Drosophila melanogaster: one gene and its partners. The protein of the gene in region 1 interacts with the protein of each later gene in a pairwise test. Each region holds a gene or a part of one and is shown in the gene's direction. Other genes may lie near its edges.

Region 1 (6,253 bases):
GCAGCACATTAACATCAACCGAGGCCACAATCTCCACGGAAAAGGTGTCTGCTGTCTCCGGAATAAACGTAGCCAGCTCTACGCTAAACTTGAAGCAATTAGCATTTACATTTTGCTATCTTACCAAGGATAATTGAAACCCGGCGAGGATGCTATGCCCGGGCATAAGGAGCACGTAGCTGTGTCTAAACTTGAGTCGAGAGATTGCCATCTTAGTTTTTAATTTGCTTCCTGGGACATTTCCTCGCTTTTGCTCGCATTTCCTTCGGTCTCGACTTAATCACACAAAGGCAATTTCACGCCTTTTTGCGCTTTGTCTCGGCCTGACAACGGGGCAATCACTTTGTCACTTGGCAGTTTGATGTATCGACAGGCGCTAAACCAAACAACCAACCCACCTAAAGTTCCATCCCCTGGCTCAGTGACAAGACAAAATCATCTAGTTAGCAATAGAGCGAGATCAGCAGGGGTAGATAAGCCTTTGGGTTTAGTGGAAATTTTGTGCTCGATTTGTATATCGGAGATTTTCATTAGTTTGCGCTGAAAATATTTACTGCAATGAACTGAGAATGTGTTCGGGATTTTCACTTGACTTCAATTGTGCACACGTGTCACATATGTGAGAGTCCAATTGAAATGGGGGTAATTTCTGGTGAGATGTGACAATAAGTAATATATTGAGGAAATTGGTCCGATGTAAGATAAGATAACTGATCAGATATAGTTTAACTTACTCAGACTCCAGCATTTAATAGGCTTGGGTAACCCAATTAATTCTTATATATTTTAAAATGATTTTCCATAAGCTTTAAGCATCAACTGCACCAAACATTTGAATATCCCATTTTATTTATCAATTTAAAATCACATCAGCCCATGGGTTGAGCTTGCATTGTTCGATCGGCAATTAATTAAATACAAGCTAAACAATATTTTTAATGAAATGGCCATGTTGGAAGGCAATCATGTGTTTAATATTAATTTCGTCGACAGCCAACATGGCGACCATGCGAATTATAGGCTCCAGCACACAGATACTCAAATGCACCCATACACACACACACGCACACTCGCACACTCGGCTGTTGGCTATAAATATTAATTAAAAATGCAACTCATATGGCAAGTGGAACAATTAGCACCTGAAAATATGCAAACATTAAATTGCCGCTGCTGCAGCCACATGGCTGCAAGCAAAAAGTGCAACAAAAGAGTCGAAAATTTAAATAAAATATACATACACCCCATAGCTGCAAACCCTGTTCACGACTGACCATAACAGACACATATTTTGTCCTGGCAATGGCCACATCCTTGCATCCGGTCTGCCAGGATCTAGGGTCTAGCCGGAAAAAAGGGAAATAAACGGGGGATCAGAACGAGACGGAAAACGAACGGAAGGCATTGCACAATTTGCTATTGTTGCATGTGCATATTTACTGGGCACTTGCCACTTTTTCCACATAGCGCTAACTTAACTGACAAATAAATATTTCGGTATGTTGAAAGATTTCGACGCTCAACAGTCGCCTACAAAACGGGGGAACCCCAATTCCAGAGCGTGTGTGTGTGTGTGTGTGTGTGTAGTTGGCAATATGTAAAAGCTACGCGCAGCATATACTCAAAATCCAAGCCAGCAGCAACAAACGCAACAAATACACCAGCACAAAACATGGCCACATATTCACACAATCTCGCTGGAACTGCTAAAAAATCGACAAAAACAACCTGTTCGGAAACACTTGCAACAAGGACATCACCACCGACAGAGACGGGCATAGAGCCAGACAGAGAGGGCAGGTCCTGCCATATTTTCGGGGTGGGTGTGAGAGGCAAATCGAGAGAGAGAGCAAGCGAGAGAGCGGCCAGGATCAAGCACCGCCTCCTTGCGAAAAGAGATGAGTGCACAGTGGGCGGAACAGGGAAAATAATTTAGTAAAATATAATGTTTTGGTAAAAATCTAAATGGAAACCATGCGAAAAAGTTTTATTTATTGTAAAATATTTGAAAACATTTACCTAATGAAGTTTAAGCGCAACTACTTCAAGATATTCAACTCTTTTGAATGAATAAGAGTAACTTCTCATATAGATGACCCTAGTTTCAAATCCTTCTAAGTTTAATCAATTAAGTTTTTTAAATAATATCACACAACTTTAACAACAACATTGCCCATTGTACCAATGCATCACATACAGCACAACAAGGTTTTCGAACAAGCCAACCTGTCCGTGAATGCTAGCCAACCAGGAGTCGTCCTGGCTAGGACTCGCACAATAAAACCACAGAATATGTTCGCCAACTGGCAAAGCAGATGGAACGCTGGAGAGACGGAGAGTGGGCCAAAGAAAGAGAGAGAAGACCGCTGGAGAAAGAGAGGACAAGCGGGAGTGAAAGAGCAAGAGCAGGAACATAAGGGTGGTGCTCTCTGCAGGACCTGAATCTGAACAGACTCCGAGCAGAATCAGGACAGATGGGCCAAGTGCCGCGAGTGCGGAGAGTTGCTTTTTCCCAATTGAATGGGACAATATGAGAATACGAGAATTCCAACTGGACGCGGTGGTTGTGGCAGCGGGTACTTAAAGAGGAACAGATTGCGGGCGGCCAGCAGTCGAAACTGGAATTTCGAATCGCAAGGAACTGTATAGAACCAAAGACCCAAAGTCCCTACCAGAGCCAAGTGAAAGTCGAAAAGTGTATTGAAGTGAAAATGAATCTGCTCATGGATAGCATGCCGTCGCACGCGAATCCTGGCCAGCGTCGCCCAACGCCGCCTCAGCACGCCGAGCTTAGGATCTCCACATCACCGCAACAGTCACCGCAGCAAAATCAAACCACTAATCACAATAACAACAATGAGACACCCACATCGCCACCGGGTGGAAAGACCACTCTTAAACGCGCCTTCGATGTGGCCTTCCTCATGATGCCCGATGAACGGATTAAGCAAAAGCAGGCCGAGAAGCAGGCTCGCCTTCAAGAGGCACTGCACCATCATCACCACCAACAGCAGCAGCAGCAGATGAGCCACTATCCCACAGATTTGTCTCCTCGAGGAACCTCCTCGCAACCACCTTCGCCGGCGGCACTGGAGTACATTAGTCTGTTGGAGGCACGCCAGCGGTATCCACAGATCAGCATCCGTTCGCCGCGGGTTTATGATGATCCCAGTGTGGTCATACCCCTGGTGGATTCTCCAGAGGCACCATCAACTTCTTCACCACCACCGCCCATGCGCAGCGCTTTTACCAAAGTAGCCTCCTCGTCGCTGTCCACTTCATCATCCTCACCATCGACCACTTCACGTTTGGAATCACCCGTGGATGCGGGAGCTCCGCCCTTGAGTCCCGATCAGCTAAGCTGTCACTCGATAAGTCCACCATTGGTGACACCTCCACCAAGAACCAATAGCGGTGGCCAGAATCCAAATCCCCTGCCAGCAAATCCCATAGTCTACCACAACTTCCGACCGGAGTATCAGTTCAACGGAGCCTTCCAGGCGGTGAATCCCATGCAGGCTCTGCAGGCACAGCAGCGCCTTAAGCAGCAGTTGTTGTACACCCGTCCACCAGGACCTGGAAATCCCAATGGAGGAGGACCTACTATGCAGGCAAACTCACCACCGGGTCCACCGTCGGAGTTCCTGCATGCCTATCCCGGATTTGCTCCGCCACCACATCCATTCGCGGTATCCCAACCTCTCCAGAATCCCGCTGCAGCAGCCATTCTCTCCACGTTGATTCCACCCACATTGGCATCCACTTTTACACTGACCGCTCAGAATGTGTGCGCCAAGTGCAACATAAGTTTCCGGATGACCAGTGATCTGGTGTATCACATGCGATCCCATCACAAAAGCGAAGTGGCCTGCGATCCAAATCGACGGAAGCGGGAGGAGAAACTCCGATGTCCCGTCTGCCAGGAGACTTTCAGGGAGCGACACCATCTAACGCGACACATGACCGCCCACCAGGACAAGGCCAGTGATCACCAGCCGCAGCTGGAGGACTCATCCTCATCTGCCGGTGACAACGAGATCATCAACGTGGTCGGCGGCACACCGCCAGGTCGCCGAATGGGTGGTATGCCCAAATGATCGAAGCATTTCTTCGGATATTTTTAAGTCATCAAGTCAACTAACTCCCCAAAAACAAAACCCGTTGCCCATTTTCGATTGTGATATTAACTTTAGTTTCCCCCACGCTCCGATTTAATTTCCCCTTAGCTTTAAATGTAGTGCAATTTGTATCTTAAATATGTAACTGGATCTCCCTGTATCTCAATTAATTATCTTTCTTATCGAAGGACCCGAAAGGATCTTCAGTTTCATCATTGTAAGATATTATGGCTAAGTTGCAAATTCAATGTGTGGCTGAATGTTTCAATAAAAATCTAATTGTTATGCCAATTCAATAGTAATCACGTTTTATTAATAAAATTTGGGTTAATGGGAAATTTTATCTTGTAGTAGATCTGAAGTATTCTAAAATCATGTTATGAAAATGAGCTTGAGGATTATTGCAATCAAATATTTTTGAAAAGCTTAAACAAAAGCCAATGAGTTGTCTATGCTTTCGAAATAATGTGATTAAGCTTATATAGACGCCACCTTAATAAGAAATCCCAAAAGACAACCGAGCTTAAAATTCAATTAATTTTTGAAAAAAAGAATCCCAAACCAGGGATTCTAGAAGACGAAGATATCTTGATTTGGCAGCATATGGAGTTCTTTGAATTCCTGGCCGGACAACCCATTATTTCGATTGTGAGGTAGACCGAAAACATAGGCTCCCAGGACCAGAAAAAGCACCAGATTTTCGCGGGTACCAAAAGTAACATACGCCATGTTAGTAGAGCGAAGAATATGTTCAACTTATTAGCGCAGTGAGGCAGTGAATTCTGTAGTTGCGATTCAGCAGTATTCATTTTGGCCGCATGCAGCAATTAGATGCGGCCACAAAAACTGCGACGCCGACGCTAATGAGCTGGGAACCGAAATTGTAACAAGATGAAAGGATACTTCGGGGTTGTCCTGCGCCCAAAAAAGGCAGTCATTCGTTTAGACGGCGCGACGAATACGACGAGCTTCCAGGATAACCCATCATCGCGGAGTACTAGTGCAGTTTTTGGCAAAAATGTATTTCGAATTTCAATATTTCCACACTTGCCAACCCTCCGGAATTCAGTTCCCATGAGCCTCGAATTTGTAGCGTAGCAAATTCCTACAAAGCGCAACGAATTCCTTGGGTGGTGGCTGCTCCCCCAGCGATTTCCTTGGCTCGTTGCTGCACTCAAATGAGCCACATCGAATTGCGTTGATTTAGCGTGGCCAAATCCTGTTAGCCCCGTGCCACAGAAGCCAAGCAGCCAGCCAGGATTCTCACAGGACGTCTTCCTGCCTTATCGACTGATGTATCAATTGATGGCATCGCTAAACGGCAAACGCTCTGCTCCGATCCGCTCTGCTCATTGTTCCCATGATGGGATTAGCATTTTATGGCTTTGTGTTCGCTGCTTGCCACTTGATAAAGACATTTTCCAAGCTCCTTTCACATGGCTGGAGTGGGGGGTGGAAAACAATTGCTGGGAAAGTTAATGTAAGCAAATTGGTGTGGAGCATTAAGGTGAAGAGATAAAAGGACTTGGGGTACAAGGTGGTAAGCCTGTAAGGAGCAACACCTAAAATAAAAGCTTATTATCAATAATATTGGAGTAATAACGTGTGCAAATCTATCAACATTTCTAATCTAAGTTCCTAATAATAATGGTAATAATTTTCATGATGCCGCAAGTATTGTCTTGATTTTAACAGACATCTCACTAGCTCAGTTCTTTTTGCCAAAATCCTGGCTGAGGCAAAAAATTTGAAGACAATTCAAGTTTTATTTTACCGCCCATTCCGAGATATCCCGTTTATAGTCACTCGTCTTGATTTATTTCGTGCATTTCCCCAATGAGCAATTCAGGCTTCCTTTAAAAAACAATTACAACTTCCGACGCCCTCGAAAACAAACAAGCGCCACCCATATGAACTTCCATTGCCGTAAAGCGAACACATCGTCAAAATCACATTTCCCCATTTCATTTACCCAAGGAAGCCACCGCATCCAGAATGGCAAGACAGACAGTTCCATGGCAGCCACTCACTCAAAACGACGCCGAGGGCGACCACAGATTCGCCAACACGAAGGCAACTCCATAATAAGCCTCATCATCATCCTGGCTGGGTGCTACATAATAGCAGCCATAATC
Region 2 (7,127 bases), on another chromosome or scaffold:
AGCACTCAGCGGAGTTTTTGGTTTCGTTTTCCATTTGGTATTAGTTTTATTTTTGTTTCTGTTTTTGTTTTCAGTTAGCCAGGGGAAGTCACCATTTTTTGGGCAAGGCAAAAAGTGGGCATCGAAAGTGAAGTTTATAAAAAAGGGTTGGCGAATCCCAAAATGCAATTTATGCAAATGAGCCGAGAGGCGCCGTTGCAAATGCGGCAGCAATAGAAGAAGTAAAAAGGTAAGAAACAATGCAAAGTGCCGCATGCTAATTGAAATTTACAGGGGGGAGTTGGGGCGAATTTTCGTTTATTTTTTTCCGCAGCAAAATCAAAGCCTAAATAGCAATCAAAAAGAGCAAAAATTCCTTAAATTAAACTCACGAACTGGCGGGCGCAACGATGCGAAAATGATACATGCATTAAGGCCCAGCCAAGTTGACTTGGCCAAAACGAAGCGAATTTGGCTCGGCACATTTAGAATATCATCGCAGTGCAACTACTACGACCACAACAATAAATAATAGACAAAAGGCAGAGAGACAAAAGCAAGGAGTGCCGATTCCAAAGTCGACTTCGACGGAGACTGCGACTTTGGCTTGGCTTGGCTTGGCATGTCATGCTTAATACAGCCAATAAAACCGCCAGAGACAACAACAGCAACAATGGCAATCGAATCGCTTTGGAAGCAGCCCAAGAACAACAACCAAGGCACAGCAACAATATCGGCGATAGCAGCAACAACTAGGAGACTCCAACGCTAAGCTGTTTGCATGCACTTTTTGGGGCCACCAGCAGGTCAGCCAACAGCAGCAGCACCACTAGCCCCACTAGCACCACTGGAACCACCACCACCACCTCCACCTCTGCCACCACCATAATCGCCAAAGGAACAGCGACAGCACCATCGACAACAGCAAGAAAGCTGGCCGAAACAGTGGCTTAGAGTCCATATGATTTGGAGGCGGTTTCTAGAAAGCTTAATACGCCATGGAACTACTAAAACTCTGACCATTAACATCCACTAATGAGTAACGTGGATATTTCCATTTCTCATATTACAATGAAATGAATATAGAAATGCCACTAAAGCTGCTTTTAAGATTATAGATATAGATTATAACAAAAATAGATAAAGATCGGGAATAAACGGAGTAATAACTAGGAACACTACTCATTACCTCTAGTGGTAGTACCACATTATCCTAGAAACTACTTCTTTAATAGCCATGGAGAGGCATCATCCTTTTACGAGTGATCCACAGCCACTGTGCTGAATGCACATGGTGCCTGCCACAGACCAGTTCCACTTGCGTCGCTCCCAAATCCAACTACAATAATATATATGTACATGGGAAGCCACACCACAGAGCGGCACATTACAGCACACCGCACCCCGGAGCCACAATGGGCCGCAGTGTGAGCCGGACCCAGAGCCGCGAGACCCGGGCAAAAGCATTATGGGAAAAAATGTAGCCGAAAACGAAAGGAAGAGCCACTGCGCCCAGAAAGCCAAGTCGCTCGGCTCTGTCGCGGTCGACGCAGCAGTCGGCCGGCCGACTCAGCGATCTCACGTTTTGTCTGCGGCTTCCACATGGAGAGGCCCAAGTGCACAGCCCGCGATCTCCGGTTCGTACGCTAACAACAGTTAGAAAACGTGGCTTGGAACCTGTCTAAAAATAGCCACAGCGAATGCAGTCCAGCACACGAGCGGCCGACATGCCGACAAGCCGACAAGCCGAATGAAAACGAAACCTTAAACGCCAGAAGACGTCGCCGCCGCAAAGACGAGTCTGCGGATCCCGAAGATTTGGATTTGGGTTCGGGTGCCGAGCGCCAAGACTCTCACTCTCTGTGCAGTCGACGCTGGCAGCGCGGTCGACGCCGCGTCTTCGGGTTTACCGTTCTCTAGTCGTGTGTCGCCGATCTTGGGAGAGAAGATTTGTACTGGCTTTGCGTTATTATTGTTTTCCTCGTTGTTGTTTACGAGCTGCAAACGCCGGTGTCAATGGTAAAGTGCATTAATATTCCCGCTTTTCCGACGGCTCGCGGGGCGGGAAAATCGCTCGGATCGTGTTATTGCCAGTTATATCGGCCAAATGATTTGTGGCGCAGCTTATTTATATTTGGGGATGAGGAAAGAGTGATCTGGTTTATGAAGTGGCAGGATGGTATTTTGTTAAGTGGAAAAGCGAAATTGGCCTGGGATCTTGTGTGAAATCGATTTGTCTTAGCACTTGGAGTGAAATAGGGAATAAAAGCGGGTAACTGAGATAAATATAAAATCGTGATTTAAGTTGAAAGGAAAACCAGACTCATTTCTAGGCTAAAAGTCCGTTTTGCATATCAATTTCAATTTGAAATATTTATAGCATAATTATAAATTATATTATATAGCATAAATATAAACCAAATTCAAAAGTAGTAAATCACTATAAATAGAATATTGAATTCTTGCCATATGATACTTGTTATTCTTTTCGAAATTTCTATCTTCCTATTTAACATGATAGCTTTACTTTTCCACCCACGCTCACCATCATGGGATTGACTCACATAAACATATTCCTCGAAATCTGGTCCATTTTCCTTTGCTTTGAATACACCCACACACACGAGAGCAAGGAAGTCCTTTCCACCAAAACGACACCACAGAATGCCCACACAGACTTAGTACACTGAGAAGAATATGTAGTTTAAGACAAACAATAAAAAAACAAACAACATTAAAAACATGCTTTTTATAAATGCATTAGAGTACAGTCTACACATGGAAAAGAGATTGATATTTAAAGACAAGTGTGTAGATGATGTACAATGTGCATAAGGGAATATTCCTACAAATTGTACGTCCTTATATATCCTGAAATTAATAAACATGTTTCCTGTGTACGATAACTGAGAGAAACGGAAGTTTTGGCAGCAGGCGAGAAGTGGATACCCAGTGGGCGGTTGGAAAAGCGGAAAAGTGGGTGGCGGAGTGGTAAGCCGGAGCAGGTGAAACGGCACCAAGAGCCCCAATCAATCTCAGATGCGAGCAAAAGGGATGGCCAACGTCGGTTTTATGACGCACATAATTTCCGCTTCCGAACTGTCCCACTGGACTGCATTCGGAAAATCGGTCGCTGAAAATGGGTGGAGGGGATTTTCCGGCGCAGGCGCTCTGCCAACGACGTCATCGATTTTCCTCGCACGAGCTGCGCTCAGTTGTTGGCCCCAAATGACGTAATAGCCGGGCCGCAAAGGTAGGTCGTGTCCCGCTCGCTTGCCGTCGCCCCTCCCTCTCCATCGCACACTCACTCTCGCTCTCACTCGCTCTCGCGAGCGCAGCACGGCGCCAGCTGAGGCAGCGCTGTCGACGCGACGCGTTGAATATAGTCGCGTGTAACCGTAAAGATAAGTTCAGTCGCGTCACAGACGCCGCATTGTTAACAACTTTAGCCCAAACAGCCACCGCTCACGGAAAAGCCAATACAAAATATAGAACTTATATCGAGGCGAGCTCGATGGTTCTGAATTTCCGATCTTAAGTCAGCCAACTAAGACTTTAATCCACACAACTATATAAACATCGCGTTCAGTATTAACGAAACACAAAGCCAACATAGGTGTGAGTGCTCAAGAGTTAAACAATTGCAACAAGTTGTTGTTCTTTATCGATTCGTGCATTCGTTCTATGCGGAAACGGAAGCCGGTCGACAGCGCGGCGTATGCGTAATAACTTCCAACGGTTGACAACGCGGCGTATACTTCACCTTTACCTTTCTTAAGCGAACAATGCATATATTTCGGTGGGCAACGCTGCGTATGTTTGTTTAATCTATCTTACCCCGCTGCGAATGTGCAGTAAATTAATCTATAGTAATTCAAATTTCGTTTCATTTCTGAGAGACAAGACACAGATATTTTTGAACTGAAAGTTTTGCTAACATTTTAACGAGCACGTGAGCTGAAGAACAGTAGTAATTGTTTTTGTGTTGCCCATTGCGCGCGTGTGTGTATCAGTGTGTAAAGTGTAAGCAACGTCCTTGTGCCTCCCACTACTGCAACTACCACAACCGAATATATATGTATATGTATATAGAGACCCCAGTTGATATAGTATAGCGTGCGTAAGTCGTTACGTCGCTTACATCGTCACTTGGCCACTGCGCAAACGCCGGAAAAAAGGAAAGGCAACAAGAAAAAAGCCAAAAAAAAAAGGAGGCAAGTTCAAGTCTAAGGACACACAACAAAAACAACAGCCGGGCAAGGACAGAAAAATGAAGCCCGATAATAACTACTGCAATCAGAGCTACTGCGACAAAAGCTTCGGCCACTCCTGCCGCAGCCAAGAAAATTGAGGCAAAATCCCAGCCCAACTCGGAACAGTCGTGCTGGATCACCAGCGCCGCTCGGGGCGCCAAACAGGTGCCTATTTAGAAACCATATAGTGTGTGATCTGTGTTGTCCCGTCCTGTGTGCGTTTTATGTTTGTGTCCCATCATCACCATCAACATCATTGTTAATTTTGGGTTCTTTAACGGAGAATCGTGGTCTATGATGCGCGATCGGCTTGCCTCGCTGATTGTGGTGAAGCAAGAGGGCGGCAGCAACACGAGCATTAGCCACCACCAGGCAACGGCCATTAAGTGCGAGGCCTCACTGTACACCGAGAGCAGTTTGTTCCAGGAGATCAACAACAACTCCTGCTACAGACAGAACCTCAATGCCCCGACACACCAGCAGTCACACACATCACACCTGCAACACGCACAGCAGCACCAAACACACCAGCAACATCCCCTCTTGCCGCCGCCTCTGCCGACTCTGCCTTTGATTTACCCCTGCCGCAACCTCTTTCCCGACGGTTGCGATATCAATCACCTGGCCTGCTGCAGTTCCTCCAACTCCAACTCCAACTGCAACTCAGACTCGAACTCCACCTCCAGCTCACCCGGCAACAGCCACTTTTTTGCCAATGGAAACACATGTATGTATTTGGTTTTCCCTTTCGGCTTATCGGTGTTGGTGACTTTTTCGTTTTTTGTTTTTTTGTATTTTCCAAACTCAAACGCCGCTGTGGTGTTTTCTTCTAATTCGCTAATAGCACACGCGGCGTATACGCAATGTGCAGCGCGCATTGCCAAATCGGCCAAGAAGCTAACTGTTTGCTCAATCCGTTTGAGAAGGCAGGTCGGGAAAAAATCTGAAAAATGCAACTTGAATAAAAAAGGGGGCGTGGCTGGTGGGGGTAGGTTGGACAACGCACAATGACGACATAAATTTGCATGAAAACTGCTCAAAATGCATCATAAAAATGGTGAAAATATTAAGCTTCCATTCGCAAAATACGAGAGCAACCACAGTAGAGGTCAAGAAAATGAGGCAGAGAACTTTAAAAATTCTTGGATTATGATTCAAAAATGATTTAACAATTAAAAAGTTTAAGCATTTGGAGTACTATTAAAGGCAGCTCTAAAAATGTTCGGTATAGTTTTTTTTTAAGCACATCAGAATTAGTTTCAAGCTATCATTTGCATTAAAAATTGTATGCTATGAAATTTAGTGCATTAATAAAATTAATTGTATAGTTACATCAGAATTAGTTTCAAGCTATCATTTGCATTAAAAATTGTATGCTATGAAATTTAGTGCATTTGCATAAAATTAATTGAGGCAACTATACCGAACTGTAAAGACGGGCTTAAATCAATTACCACCACTTTGACCTTAGTTGTGTGTGCAGACCCGTCTTGGCTCTCGGTGAGCATGTGCTGCTGTTTTTGGTGTCGTACACATGTTTACCAGCGTCAGCAAAGCGCCGCAGTTTCAGCAGACGGCAGCGGACGCAGCCTGACGCAAAATGATTTACAAGCTGCACAATAAACACCGCACACAGATGCAGTGCGTCCGATTTCCACACAGATACTCACTATCGACGGCTAGGGATGGCCAATGCATTTTTATTAATAACCGCATAAAAAAAACATCGCCGATTGAAGCTCAAGCATGGGAAAGATAGATCGATCATTTCATTGCCGAGTGGGTGGTTGGTTCGGTGGGTGGTGTTAGGGCGCCCGGCGGTGGGGCATCCGATTATTGGGCTTACTAAACGGCTTGAAAGGCTTTGCCAATTCATTCGCTGCGGCAAAGTCGGTTAGCCACTTGTTAGCCGCTTCTTAAGCGACTGTATTTTGCGGCTAACTTAGCGCCCATTAAGTGTTTCCCAGCAATCAGCTTTTAAGCACTCTGCGGTTAGCGTTTTCAACTGCAAGTGGGCCATGTGAGCCTTCAATTCACAGGAATCTACTATATGCACATTCTAAATTGATTTAATTGTCAATATTACAGAATGATTATCATGCGCTACATATGGATAGGTATCCTTTCGATAGTCTTCGGATAGGTTTTTTGAAACAACTACCCAAGTAGAAAATTAGTTTCTATGGTGAAATGCAGTTAAACACTAAACCGAGGGTTGCCAATCGATTGCAGAAGTGAAAATGCAGGGCGAAATGCACTAGACTCAGTTGACTATTAGACGTGGCAAAACAAACATCTATATTTATAAGTTGGCTATATAGTACCATAATGGCGATGGGCGCCAAAAGTGCCCGACATCGGATGACAAACCAGAGCAAAACAAATCGCCGAAGAACATATGACCAGGTGAGGTGCATCCACTAGTTGTGGTATATAGTATTTAAGCCATGACGCCAGCGGGGCCATGAAATCGGCCAGTTTAACGGATTAGGCGGCACACAGTTTTCACATTACGGGTGTTTTCCCGAGGCACGAGTGCTGAAAACGTCATCGTCGCGCCGAAAACGAAAATATATGACGAAACCGTGAAAAGATTGCACTCTCTTTGCGTCAGCTGCATCCCTAAATGTGTATCTATTTATATATATATATATATATCTCATAATTGGTTCGATTTTATTTTCATTATATTTATGGCTGGCCACGTGCTGATGACGTCTTATTTCGGGGATGAGTTGGCTGTATGCCTGCAGTATTATCACAAGTCAGCGTATTTCTTATTCCTACGACTAGTCACATTTCGATTTTGTTTTTAGTTGTGTTTTTGTTCGATGCTCACGGCGGGGCGTGTGAAAACACTGTTGCTTTTACTCTTTTCTTTCCGATTTGCCTTGA
Region 3 (6,010 bases), on another chromosome or scaffold:
TGTGGCATATTCTGCGGCAGGATGTGACCTACGTATGGCTGGCCCTCCTTGTGGTTGGTCTCCTCCCACTGCAGCAGCTCCTCCACCGCCTCCACATACTCCTCCGAGATGGCGTGCAACAGGGCGTCGCCCACCTCGATGTTATGCTCCAGCAGGATCACCATCAGGTCGAAGTTCTCGTTCTCGATGGCCGAAATGAGGGCGGAGCGGTTCATGGGATCCGTGCAGTTAATGTTGAACTTGTCCGTGCCCTGGTACTCCTCGAGGATCCTTCAAGGACGAAATCATATTAGCCGAGTTACTCGAAGCCATAGGGAGGAAGCCTCACTTCTTGACACCTGGCAAGTCACCCCGCTCGCAGGACAATATGAAATTCTTCTCCACATCGCTGAGGATGTACTCCTCGGCCATCATCAGGTCGTAATCCAGGCGAGACCCCAACGCCTTCTCGGCATCGGATTCCGTATTGCTGCCCATATCTGCACTGATTTACTGGTCTATGCGAACGCGATTATCAGGATCGGATCACTCGGTCACTTCACATCTCACAAACACTATGGGCATTTATCCCTGCTCCTCGGGGAGCCTTGGCGTAATCCTTTCGCGCACTGTATCCTTTAGTGTTCCATCGTGGCGATGTTCCGCCTCCAATTAGCCGCGTTGCACTGCTGAAAAGTGGCAGCCACGGGTCGCTATATTCCACTAATTACATTAGTGCCCAATGTGGCTAAAACTCGGTCAATGTGTGGGCGAACCCCGAGTCAATGGGCCCATTTGACCGCACTTCGGTAATTGTGGGGCTGCATTTGGAGGCAGCAACCGATTTTAGCGATTTCAGTTCAGGAATCTTTCGTCCATTTGTGGTTGCATTGCACGTGATGAGCGACTTTCGATTTTCGAAGCCCCAGCAACGGAATCGCACCACTTTTATGCCTGAAAATCCAAATCAATACTGCCCAGTGGGTTTATATGTAAGTGAAAAACAAAACGTGCTAAATGGAACAATATTATCTGCTTATATTTCGATGAAATGATGCATACAGTTGAGATATGAAATTAAATAGGTGTCTAATATTTTGTACCCAGCAATATAGATCAATGCCCAAAAAAAAAATACGCACTTTGCATACTTTTTGACACCTATTCAAGCCGAAATTCAAAGCTACTTAATATTCAAAAAGTAGCATGAGGGTGTTAATTTGCGAGTAAATAGGGATTCATGGACTTGGGTTCATATCCTAGAACTATTCACCGAGAAAAGCCCTTAAAAATAGGAGAAAATGCAAGCTTTTAAGCTTTTGGCTAACCAACAGAGCCGGAAAACACACCACACCTGCAGTTTACAGTCGAGTATCTACCGAATTGAAATGATTTCGAATGCCTTTTGGGCACTGGGTCAGTGATTCTGACTTTGTGATTGATGAATATTGATTAATCTGCATGGGAAGTGGGAGGGGGAGGTGGGGTGGTGTACATCTAAGACCCAACTCGTCCTTGGCAGCCGAGCGTCTTGAGCCTTGAATGTTGAATGTTGCTTACTTCAGGGCGCTCGCAGGGCTTTTGTGTGTCAATGCACTTGGAACTAAATGCCAGCTCCTGGCTAAAGGCGGAGAAAAGGAAAAGGAACAAGCCCACTTTCACGGAGCAGCCCTTTGAGATGAATGTGTGTGTTCGAAAGGTGGGGTTCAATGGAGCTCCGGGCGGAATGGCATCGTACGTGTTCAAGTCGTACGGGGTTTTTAGCGGGGCCAATGCACTCCACACTCCACTCGCATGGCTTCCAAGAGAAGAGGAAGGAAGTGATGGTGGCCCAAGGAATTTCAAAATTAAAGTCACAGCTGTCGAGGGGAACTCATTAAGTGCGAATTAATTAGAGGCCATAGCTGAAAATACCTGGATGGCATTCTCGTAATTATATAAAGGTACTCCTCATTACACAAATGTGGCTAAATGCACATTCTTCTTATAAGTTCCCATTAACTAAATGCTATGTTGGGTTTATACATGATTTTCTGCAGTGTACAACTGGGTTGCACTCAATGATTCATTGGCCTCCAACAAAACTCCTGCCTTATTTAGCTTTTAAGGACCCTTGTGAGTTATGTGCTCAGTTCTCCACGAGAAAAGCGAAAGAGCTCATTTTCCCTGGGTTTGCGTAGCAGGTTGCACTTTCACTGTCTCCCCACCGGAAACCGTCAAGATTGCGGGATAAAATTCATTTTATGGCCATCTGTATTAAAATTATATCTCTAAGCCCTCAACATGATCGTAAAAATCTATAGTATCAATGCTGATTTGCTTTATGGCACCGATAAGATACTTATGTGTTTAAACAAATTGAATGTACCCACGTAGAAAATGATTTTATGAATTGCATCCGATGAGTAGTATTTAACATTAAATTTATTGTATTTTTAACTGATTCGCAAATCATTGAACACTGATAAGTTTACGTTTTTTATATTGCTGTACAAGCCTCTGCGTTGTTTATTTTTTGTCTTTTTGCTCCTATGTAATCTGGATGACATTAATTTACTGCCCTCCAGCTCAACATATGGGTAGTTTGACACTTGGTCAAGATAAGACAAGGGACTTCTTCTGTATATAAAGGCGCTTCGACATCGGAACACCATTGAGTTGCAAGACTTGACCAAGATGAAACTGTTCGTATTCCTGGCCTTGGCCGTGGCCGCAGCTACTGCTGTGCCCGCTCCCGCCCAGAAGCTGACCCCGACGCCCATCAAGGACATTCAGGGTCGCATCACCAACGGCTACCCAGCCTACGAGGGCAAGGTGCCTTACATCGTGGGTCTGCTCTTCAGCGGCAACGGAAACTGGTGGTGCGGTGGCTCGATCATCGGCAACACCTGGGTCCTGACCGCCGCTCACTGCACCAACGGAGCCAGTGGAGTGACCATCAACTACGGAGCCAGCATCCGCACCCAGCCCCAGTACACCCACTGGGTGGGCAGTGGCGACATCATCCAGCACCACCACTACAACAGCGGCAACCTGCACAACGACATCTCCCTGATCCGTACCCCGCACGTCGACTTCTGGAGCCTGGTCAACAAGGTTGAGCTGCCCAGCTACAACGACCGCTACCAGGACTACGCCGGATGGTGGGCCGTGGCCTCCGGATGGGGCGGCACCTACGATGGCAGCCCACTGCCCGACTGGCTCCAGTCCGTCGATGTCCAGATCATTTCCCAAAGTGATTGCAGCCGCACCTGGTCTCTCCACGACAACATGATCTGCATCAACACTGACGGAGGCAAGTCCACCTGCGGAGGCGACTCTGGTGGCCCCCTGGTTACACACGACGGCAACCGCCTGGTCGGAGTGACTTCCTTCGGATCCGCCGCTGGCTGCCAGTCTGGTGCTCCCGCCGTCTTCAGCCGCGTCACCGGATACCTGGACTGGATCCGCGACAACACCGGCATCTCCTACTAAGCAGTTGATGTTCCTTAATTCTGAGGGGTTTCTTCAATAAACGATTATAGCAAGCAACTCAAGTTCTGTTTTTGGGATGGGATTCAGATGTCTTCTTGCTTAAGTAATGAAATCAATAAAATATTTCCAAGTGAAGGGAAATATATTAAACTGCAAACGGAAATAAACTTATTCCGATTTCCGATTTATGTATCGGAAAAAATCAAGCTTTAGGAACACATAATGACGAACCATCGGACTATATGCAAATATATATATATGGATCATACGTCTTATTATTATGTATTATTATTATGTATTGTTTATAATTATTATGTATATTATGTATATAAAAAGCAAACTGGATTGAAAATGGTGTATGTAGAATATTGGACTTGTTATATTTGCAACATAATTAAAGTGCATAAACATAATATAAATTTATGTTATTATAAATAGCTGCAAGTGGACTTTCCTAGCTTAAACAGTTTTAAATATAGGAATACCCTATAGTCGCTACTAGCGTTCAACAGCTATCATATGGATAGAATATAAAAATAGGATATAAAAATAAGTTAAACAATCTCGTTTTAAAAACATTTAAGGAAAATATGAGATTACTTTTAGTTTTATAATATATGTACATTTAATGTACATAATAGAATATATAAATATTTAGCTCTCAATAATGTGCCCCTCAATCTACAACTGAATAAATAGTTTGGTCGAATTTTTCATTTTTGCTATAATCGTTTATTGAACATCAACTGCTTAGTAGGAGATGCCGGTGTTGTCGCGGATCCAGTCCAGGTATCCGGTGACGCGGCTGAAGACGGCGGGAGCACCAGACTGGCAGCCAGCGGCGGATCCGAAGGAGGTCACTCCGACCAGGCGGTTGCCGTCGTGTGTAACCAGGGGGCCACCAGAGTCGCCTCCGCAGGTGGACTTGCCTCCGTCAGTGTTGATGCAGATCATGTTGTCGTGGAGAGACCAGGTGCGGCTGCAATCACTTTGGGAAATGATCTGGACATCGACGGACTGGAGCCAGTCGGGCAGTGGGCTGCCATCGTAGGTGCCGCCCCATCCGGAGGCCACGGCCCACCATCCGGCGTAGTCCTGGTAGCGGTCGTTGTAGCTGGGCAGCTCAACCTTGTTGACCAGGCTCCAGAAGTCGACGTGCGGGGTACGGATCAGGGAGATGTCGTTGTGCAGGTTGCCGCTGTTGTAGTGGTGGTGCTGGATGATGTCGCCACTGCCCACCCAGTGGGTGTACTGGGGCTGGGTGCGGATGCTGGCTCCGTAGTTGATGGTCACTCCACTGGCTCCGTTGGTGCAGTGGGCGGCGGTCAGGACCCAGGTGTTGCCGATGATCGAGCCACCGCACCACCAGTTTCCGTTGCCGCTGAAGAGCAGACCCACGATGTAGGGCACCTTGCCCTCGTAGGCTGGGTAGCCGTTGGTGATGCGACCCTGAATGTCCTTGATGGGCGTCGGGGTCAGCTTCTGGGCGGGAGCGGGCACAGCAGTAGCTGCGGCCACGGCCAAGGCCAGGAATACGAACAGTTTCATCTTGGTCAAGTCTTGCAACTCAATGGTGTTCCGATGTCGAAGCGCCTTTATATACAGAAGTGGTCCGTAGTCTTATCTCGACCAAGAGCCCTTCCTTCCACACGTATGTAAAATGGGAGGGCAGTAAATTTTAATCAAGTTATCATCGCGAGCCATCGTCGACTGATAAGTCCACTACAGGTGATTTTTTTTTTTTGTAAATTATGGCCTAAATTTGAAGTGGAATGACATGTGCCTTATTTGCAACTTACTCTTCAGTATGATAGTATCATGTAAGGACATTCACTTCACCTAAAATATATTATATACTCAGATTACCCAAATGAGGAGTAAAGTATTTTATGATCTTTAAGAAATTTAAATTCTGAATAATGTTTATTGAAAGTATTTACTACCAATTTCAAAAAAAAGTGTGATAAAATATTACTCATACGGCACATTGTACAGTTTTTGTTCTCAACAAGTTGATTTTTAGATTATCAAAAAATAAAACACTAATAGGTTAATATTACATAGGTAATGTATTAAATGGTATGTATTATGTAATATGTAATGTATTGATTATGTATTATTGGTAATTTTATCTCTAAACATGAATATGCCACTATCTTCCAAGAAATTAATAATACACAAAATATAACAGCATATGTTCTTCATTTATTTAAAACTTGTTTAAGCACCTTTTTGCTTTGAAATTAGTAAAGTTTTTTTTTAATAATAGATTCCAGTCTCCTCCTTTATCCATTCCAGGTACTTGGTGACCCTAGTGAAGCCAGCCGGTCCTCCAACCTGGCATCCGTAAGCGGAGACGAAGGAAGTGATTCCGATAAGCTTATCACCCTCCTTTGTGACCAGAGGACCACCAGAATCACCCTGGCAGGTGGCCTTTCCGTCCGGAGTTTCCACACAGATGGTGTTCTCGGAGGCGGTATCAGTTCCGTAGTAAGCCTGGCACTCCGCCACGGAGATCACTTTCAGATCCACCACTCGCAGATCCTCCACCACATTG
Region 4 (5,777 bases), on another chromosome or scaffold:
ACTTTGCGCTGGCCGATATTCGCCGGCAGCTTCATCCTCTGCGAGCGCAGAGAAACCCCGGAACCGCGCAGGTCGGCGAACTTGATGCCGCTGCTACCGATCTCTATGGCATTAACCACCGAGTCCACCCTGGAGGGTCGCGGCTGCTGATGTACCTTCTTTTTGTGCAGCTTCTTCTCGTACTTTCGCGTACTCGGCGTATTCGATGCGTGCTCATTCTGCTGATCCGCTTGCGAAATAAGCTTCTGCAAGTCTTGTGTCTTGCGCTCGCGTTCCTTTTTGCGCGCCTCGATTTTCTTCATCTCGTTGATAAGCATATTCTCCTCCTCCACCTGTTGTGTCGTGCGTTTGAACAGCTTCTCCAGCTGCTCCTTGCGGCGCCGTTCGTGCTCGACGTCATACACAAATACTTTCTTCTCACTCGTCTGATTCTTGGCCTTGGCGAGCAGAGCGACCACCTCATAGTAGCGTTCTTTGAGCTCCTCCACAGTTTTGGTTCCATGCTGCTGACGGTTCCAACGATCTGCCATCACAATGAAGCGAAGATCGAACCTGCAAATCAAATGGCTTACAATTTTGGCTACTTAATAAGAAGTCTAATGAAGAGTCTACCTTCTGGCCAGGTCGAATAGGTGATCGGTCTGCACCTTGCTCCAGTTGTTGATGTTGTTCCTTAAGTGGGCATTGTACTCCGTCATCGTGTACGAGGGCACCTCCAGTTGCTTGTTGAACTTGGCGAACGGATAGTCGGTGGAATTGTCGGTGACTCGTTTCCAGTGGTGAAAAACCGCCGAATCGTTACGTGCCGGATTCGAAAAGGGCGCCCACTCCCACTTGCGCACCTTCTTCATGCCCAGGCGGGCCTTCGTCTCTTTGTATCCCGCTCCGATTCCCAGAGCGGTATCCGTGGGCAGGAGAGGCGGAGCATCTTTCTTGTCTGTGTAGAGCAGGGCAAACACCTCCCTATGCATGCCCTCCGGACGCCGGGACGCAGTCTTGGTCCTAAAATGATTAAATTGTAAATTAGAGAATCGCACACATGTAAATGCATTTGTTTACCGCTCAAAGTTGCGCTTCTTGGTGGCCAGAAACGAATCCCGCGTCACCTCGGGCGTGTTGGCACGCTCCATGTCCAGAATATCACGCACATCGGCCGACATGATTTAAAACTTTTGCTACTCTAATGTCTGCTAAAAATTGAGTTGCTTATTGTTTATTTTGATAGTTTTTTGCAAAACGAACAAAATTTCTTATAATGCTATTAGTATGACCGTAAACTATAAGATGGTAAATACGTTTATTTCACCATAAAATATACAGTTAGTATATGCTAGGGCTAAGTAATAAATTCACTAAATTCCGAACATGAAATTTTCAAACAGTATTTGAAAATATTTTTTATTTATTACAAATAATTAATTTATTAATTAATTATTATAATGTGCTTCAAATTAGCATCTATGGAGGAACGGTGGAACATATGGTATTGCAGTATACATTGTGATGTTATTGAGTTAGTATATCTAAGCGTATACGCGGTCACACTGAGAATTCAACGTGCTCAAATCAAAAAACTAAACAGCGCGGATTCGGATTCTCCGAAACTATGTTGTTTTTCTGCCCGTCGTGCGGAAATATATTGATTATCGAGGAGGACACCAACTGCCATCGCTTCACGTGCAACACCTGCCCGTACATATCGAAGATCAGGCGCAAGATCTCCACGAAAACCTTTCCACGCCTCAAGGTATGATCATTTTCCACTGGATGATGCAATTTGCTACGAATTTATGATAATATCTCTGATAATCTGTGTTTCCAGGAGGTGGATCACGTGCTGGGCGGCAAGGCGGCGTGGGAGAACGTAGACTCCACGGACGCAGAGTGTCCAACGTGCGGCCATAAGCGGGCGTACTTTATGCAAATCCAGACGCGGTCGGCGGATGAGCCCATGACCACGTTTTACAAGTGCTGCAACCACGAGTGCAACCACACCTGGCGAGACTAATGCGCCGCCTTCAAACGAGCCTTTATCGACTGCTCCGTGCTCACCACACATCCAGCAGAATGCAGCACCAAGCGAGCGAGCTGAGGACTCCAGTGTGCGCGGTGGGCGACGAGGCTGCTCTCCAGTTGGCCCGCCAGTGCCTGCTTGGTGGCCAAGTGATTGCCCTGCCCACCGATACCGTGTATGGCCTGGCCTGCGATGCCAACAACGAGACAGCCATACAGCAGCTCTACGAGATTAAGGGTCGCGATGAACACAAGCCCGTGGCCATCTGCGTTCACAACATCGATGCGTTGCGACGCTTTGGTCAGGCTGCCCATCTCAGCGACGAGCTGCTAACTCGTTTGCTCCCGGGCCCCCTGACCATCGTGATCGAGCGGACGTCCCAGCTGAGCAACCGTTTCCTTAATCCCAGCACCTCCAAAATCGGCATACGCATTCCGGACTTCAACTTCATGCGCGACCTGTGCGCCGTGTGGCAGGAGAAGCCCCTGGCCCTGACCAGCGCCAATCGCTCCAGTGCGCCCAGCAGTCTGCAGGTGTCCGAGTTCCGTTCCCTATGGCCCCAATTGGGCGCCGTCTTCGATGCCGGTCGAATCGGTCTGACCGAGGAGCGACGACTGGCCTCCACGGTCATTGACCTGGCCACTCCTGGCTACTATGAAATAGTGCGCGCCGGCGTGGCTCTCAAGCCGACACTCAGCCTCATGGAGGAGTTCGGCATTCGGGAGCTAAAAATGATGTAGTATAAGAGCTATTCCTTTGGCTTTAACTTTAATTTTTACTTTGGAACATCCTACTTTGCTTTGCATGCGGGAACACAACAAATTGTTTATAAAATATACGGTTCAGTATGTACACAATTGGAACTATCTTGGGCGCAGGCTCTCCGCCAGTTGGTCAGTCTAGTTGTAGTAGTTGCTGGAGTTCTTGGAGGCCTGTATGGGTCTCCGTCGCCGCGGCAGTTCGTTCTCCAGTATTCGCCAGCGTTCCGGTGGCCACACGATGGCCACTGCCCGCGCGGACATCAGGCCCAGGGCGACGGGTCCAAAGGTATTGCTGTCCATGGAGTGGCCTGTGTGATCGCCCTCCACCCAACAATGTCCTTCGGGTACGCGAACGATCTCGTGCTTGTAGCCCAGCGTGGACACGACGTCGCCCTGCAGCCCCACCACGCGCTTGATAATCTTCTGGGCGGGATCCTTGGGTGAAATGAGCGATATTATGTCGCCGCGCTCCACCTGACTGTTGTGGGTGCCCCAGCGCAGCAGGAACACATAGTCCTTTTCATCCGGCACGGGATTGAGAGCGGGCTGCATGGAGATGCCTGCAAAAAGTTGTGGATTAATTAGCGCACACTAACATGGAGCGAATAAACTCCGGACGACTCACCATCCACCCTGGCCACATAACCAACGCAGTCCAGGAAAGTGACGCCAAGTGGCAGAGCGTACAGCAAGGACTTGCCAAAGAACCGAAATGCCATGGATGAACTGGTTGGAGAGCGGAGCTATCGAGATGAATACATAACCACCAGCCTTTTGCCGAGTTCCTTGTGCGCTCCGGATCTTATGACATTCGCAGCGCAGCGCCGACACGGGTTTTGTTTATGCTAAATACAGGGTGCTTCAATAAAGGCGATGCAGAGGTTCTTGAGCAGATTACGTTTATTGAGGAAGGATATTTGCCAGCTATTGTACTTTAGTTACAGGTGTTTTTTTCCGTTTTGGGTTTATTGTAATTTTGACAGAAACAGGAATGTGACTGGGCAATCGTTCAGCAGCCCTCCAGCTCGCTGGGAATGGGTATCTCGTTCTGGATGGCGAACTGCAGCAGCGCCTTGTACTTGTTCTTCCAGTTGGACACCTCGCGGCGCACCTGCTCGTTGTCCTCGTGCATCTGCTCCAGTTCCGTCCACTCGTACGACTTCTTAGTCTCCAGCTCGTCCTTCTGTTCGATTCTCTTGATGCGGCAACTGGCTGCGTATCCGCGATTCTTTAAGGTTCTCCGGCGCTGCTTCATCCGAACGATCTCCTCGCGGTTCAGGCCACGCATCTTGAGGGTCCGATTAAGATCCCTTACCGAAATGCTCACCAAATCGTCATCGGTAATATCCGGAATTGGACATGGCGAAAGTGGTGCCTGAAAATCGCACTTCTATCAGGGTTTTCTTTCTTCTTCGCATATATCTACAAGGTACGTACCAGGGATGACTTTCTCTCGCGCTTTGCTTCCATTGTGGCCGATTGTATTTTATTTTTACGGAGACTTTTAGAATTTGCTAGATTTTTCTACCTTTTTTTTTTGCGTTGTTATTGTGTGTCTTCTTCTTCCTCTCTACCTGCTGGTTGCCATTCACAGGAAATGGATTGCATAGAGTTGGCAGATAGACAAAAAACGTCTGTGGTAAATAGCGGGTAATTTAAATATACTAAAGCTAACGTGATCCCTAGATTTTAGGCTTTGTAGCATAAGGTACTTAGTTATATTTTTAAATTATTTATATAAAGCAGATCCAGATTTTTGTTATAAATACAAGTTCGAAAATAACAAATTTATATTTTAATTATTATCAATTTTAATTAACTGTTAAGTTCCGTGCCTTCCAGGTGGCATCGCTGGCAAAGTTTAAGAAGCTGCCTAACACTAACAGCTTTACAGAAGTTTTTTCCCCGAACGACGCCAACTGTTAGCGGGAAATATTCCTTCATCCTGCAGATGCCAAGTCCTTATTGTTCGCCATGAACTCGCAGGTGATGTACCACAATGTGCCCACACCGCCGGGCAACGTATCTTTGGCGGCCGCTGCTCCCGACGGCGGTTTGCTGTACGCCGGCATTCGCTGCATCAACTACATATCCGCGCCGCCGGCAAACGGAGAGCAGCCCCAAGTGGTGACCATGTCGACGCGGATCAACATACTGGCCCTGGACGTTAGTCCCATGTGGGGCTTGGGCAACGGTGGGCCGACCAAGCCATTCGCCATTGTGGGCGACGATCTAAGCGTTCAGGTGTGGGACTGCGCATTGGGCGAAGCCGTCATCGGGCACAAGGCCCATCAGCACCAGCACGAGGCGCGGGATGTGCGCGTCGTGCACCACACTACCAACTCCGTGCTGATGAGCTACCTGGCCAATGGTAACATTCTATCCATGGACGCCAGTGATCTGGTCATCTATTGTGTGGCATCCAACACCTACTGCCGTCGCTCCACTTTCATCTCGCCCCGAAATCACCAACTCACTATGGTGCGCTGCTCGCCCTACAATGACAATTTGTTCGCTGTGGGAACGGCTATGGGTAATGTGCTGGTCTGCGATCTGCGCAAAATGAACATCGTCTACAAGTTCCACGGCCACAAAGCGCCCATATGCGGCTTAGCCTGGCGGGAGGTGCCTGCTGCCGAGGACGAAAAAACCAATAATCTGGCGTTAAGTGCTGAAGAGTGGCGAAGCCGCAATGGCGGCCAGGAGGAGAAACCCAAGACAAAGCCACCACCACTGACCAAATCGAAGGCAGCCGAATCCGACGACCCTTTCGACATATACAACTTTGATCATCTTGAGTACGAGTTCGGTGCACCTATAGCTGAACGCCGCCGCAAATCTTCAGAGGATTGTGGCGGCGAATTTGTGGGTCTAGAGAAGCCAGCTGGTGCCGCTGTCTTAGATTTCGTTGAGGCCTGCGAGAGTGTGAAAGCCGAACTCTTAGCCAGTCGCCAGGAGGATAAAACGCAGCACGTGGAGGTCACGCTGCATGACTGCGAGCC

What was found.
Region 2: the proteins of CG13287 (region 1) and Hr38 interact in a two-hybrid assay, tested with the Drosophila melanogaster proteins (one large-scale study listed by BioGRID).
Region 3: the proteins of CG13287 (region 1) and Jon99Ciii interact in a two-hybrid assay, tested with the Drosophila melanogaster proteins (one large-scale study listed by BioGRID).
Region 4: the proteins of CG13287 (region 1) and Polr3K interact in a two-hybrid assay, tested with the Drosophila melanogaster proteins (one large-scale study listed by BioGRID).

What each region holds. Positions count from the first base shown.
Region 1 is NT_037436.4:5,879,696-5,885,948, forward strand, and holds CG13287 (uncharacterized protein), read left to right. Parts: upstream 1-2,608; 5' UTR 2,609-2,711; coding exon 2,712-4,097; coding exon of another isoform or gene 4,098-4,124; 3' UTR 4,125-4,395; downstream 4,396-6,253.
Region 2 is NT_033779.5:20,710,869-20,717,995, reverse strand, and holds the start of Hr38 (hormone receptor-like in 38), read left to right. Parts: upstream 1-3,407; 5' UTR 3,408-4,526; coding exon 4,527-4,959; intron 4,960-5,695; exon of another isoform or gene 5,696-6,794; intron 6,795-6,989; exon of another isoform or gene 6,990-7,127. UniProt on the Drosophila melanogaster protein: Binds to NGFI-B response elements. Plays an important role in late stages of epidermal metamorphosis.
Region 3 is NT_033777.3:29,919,587-29,925,596, forward strand, and holds Jon99Ciii (jonah 99Ciii), read left to right. Parts: upstream 1-2,629; 5' UTR 2,630-2,655; coding exon 2,656-3,453; 3' UTR 3,454-3,869; downstream 3,870-6,010. Other genes in the region: trp (transient receptor potential), read right to left, coding at 33-270, 329-477; Jon99Cii (jonah 99Cii), read right to left, coding at 4,204-5,001; Jon99Ci (jonah 99Ci), read right to left, coding at 5,713-6,010. UniProt on the Drosophila melanogaster protein: Major function may be to aid in digestion.
Region 4 is NT_033778.4:20,639,554-20,645,330, reverse strand, and holds Polr3K (RNA polymerase III subunit K), read left to right. Parts: upstream 1-1,545; 5' UTR 1,546-1,606; coding exon 1,607-1,747; intron 1,748-1,822; coding exon 1,823-2,008; coding exon of another isoform or gene 2,009-2,754; 3' UTR 2,755-2,865; downstream 2,866-5,777. Other genes in the region: DMAP1 (DNA methyltransferase 1 associated protein 1), read right to left, coding at 1-552, 613-1,002, 1,060-1,160; Tcs1 (Threonyl-carbamoyl synthesis 1), read left to right, coding at 2,008-2,754; CG11110 (uncharacterized protein), read right to left, coding at 2,914-3,335, 3,401-3,494; maf-S, read right to left, coding at 3,785-4,165, 4,213-4,245; rig (rigor mortis), read left to right, coding at 4,750-5,777.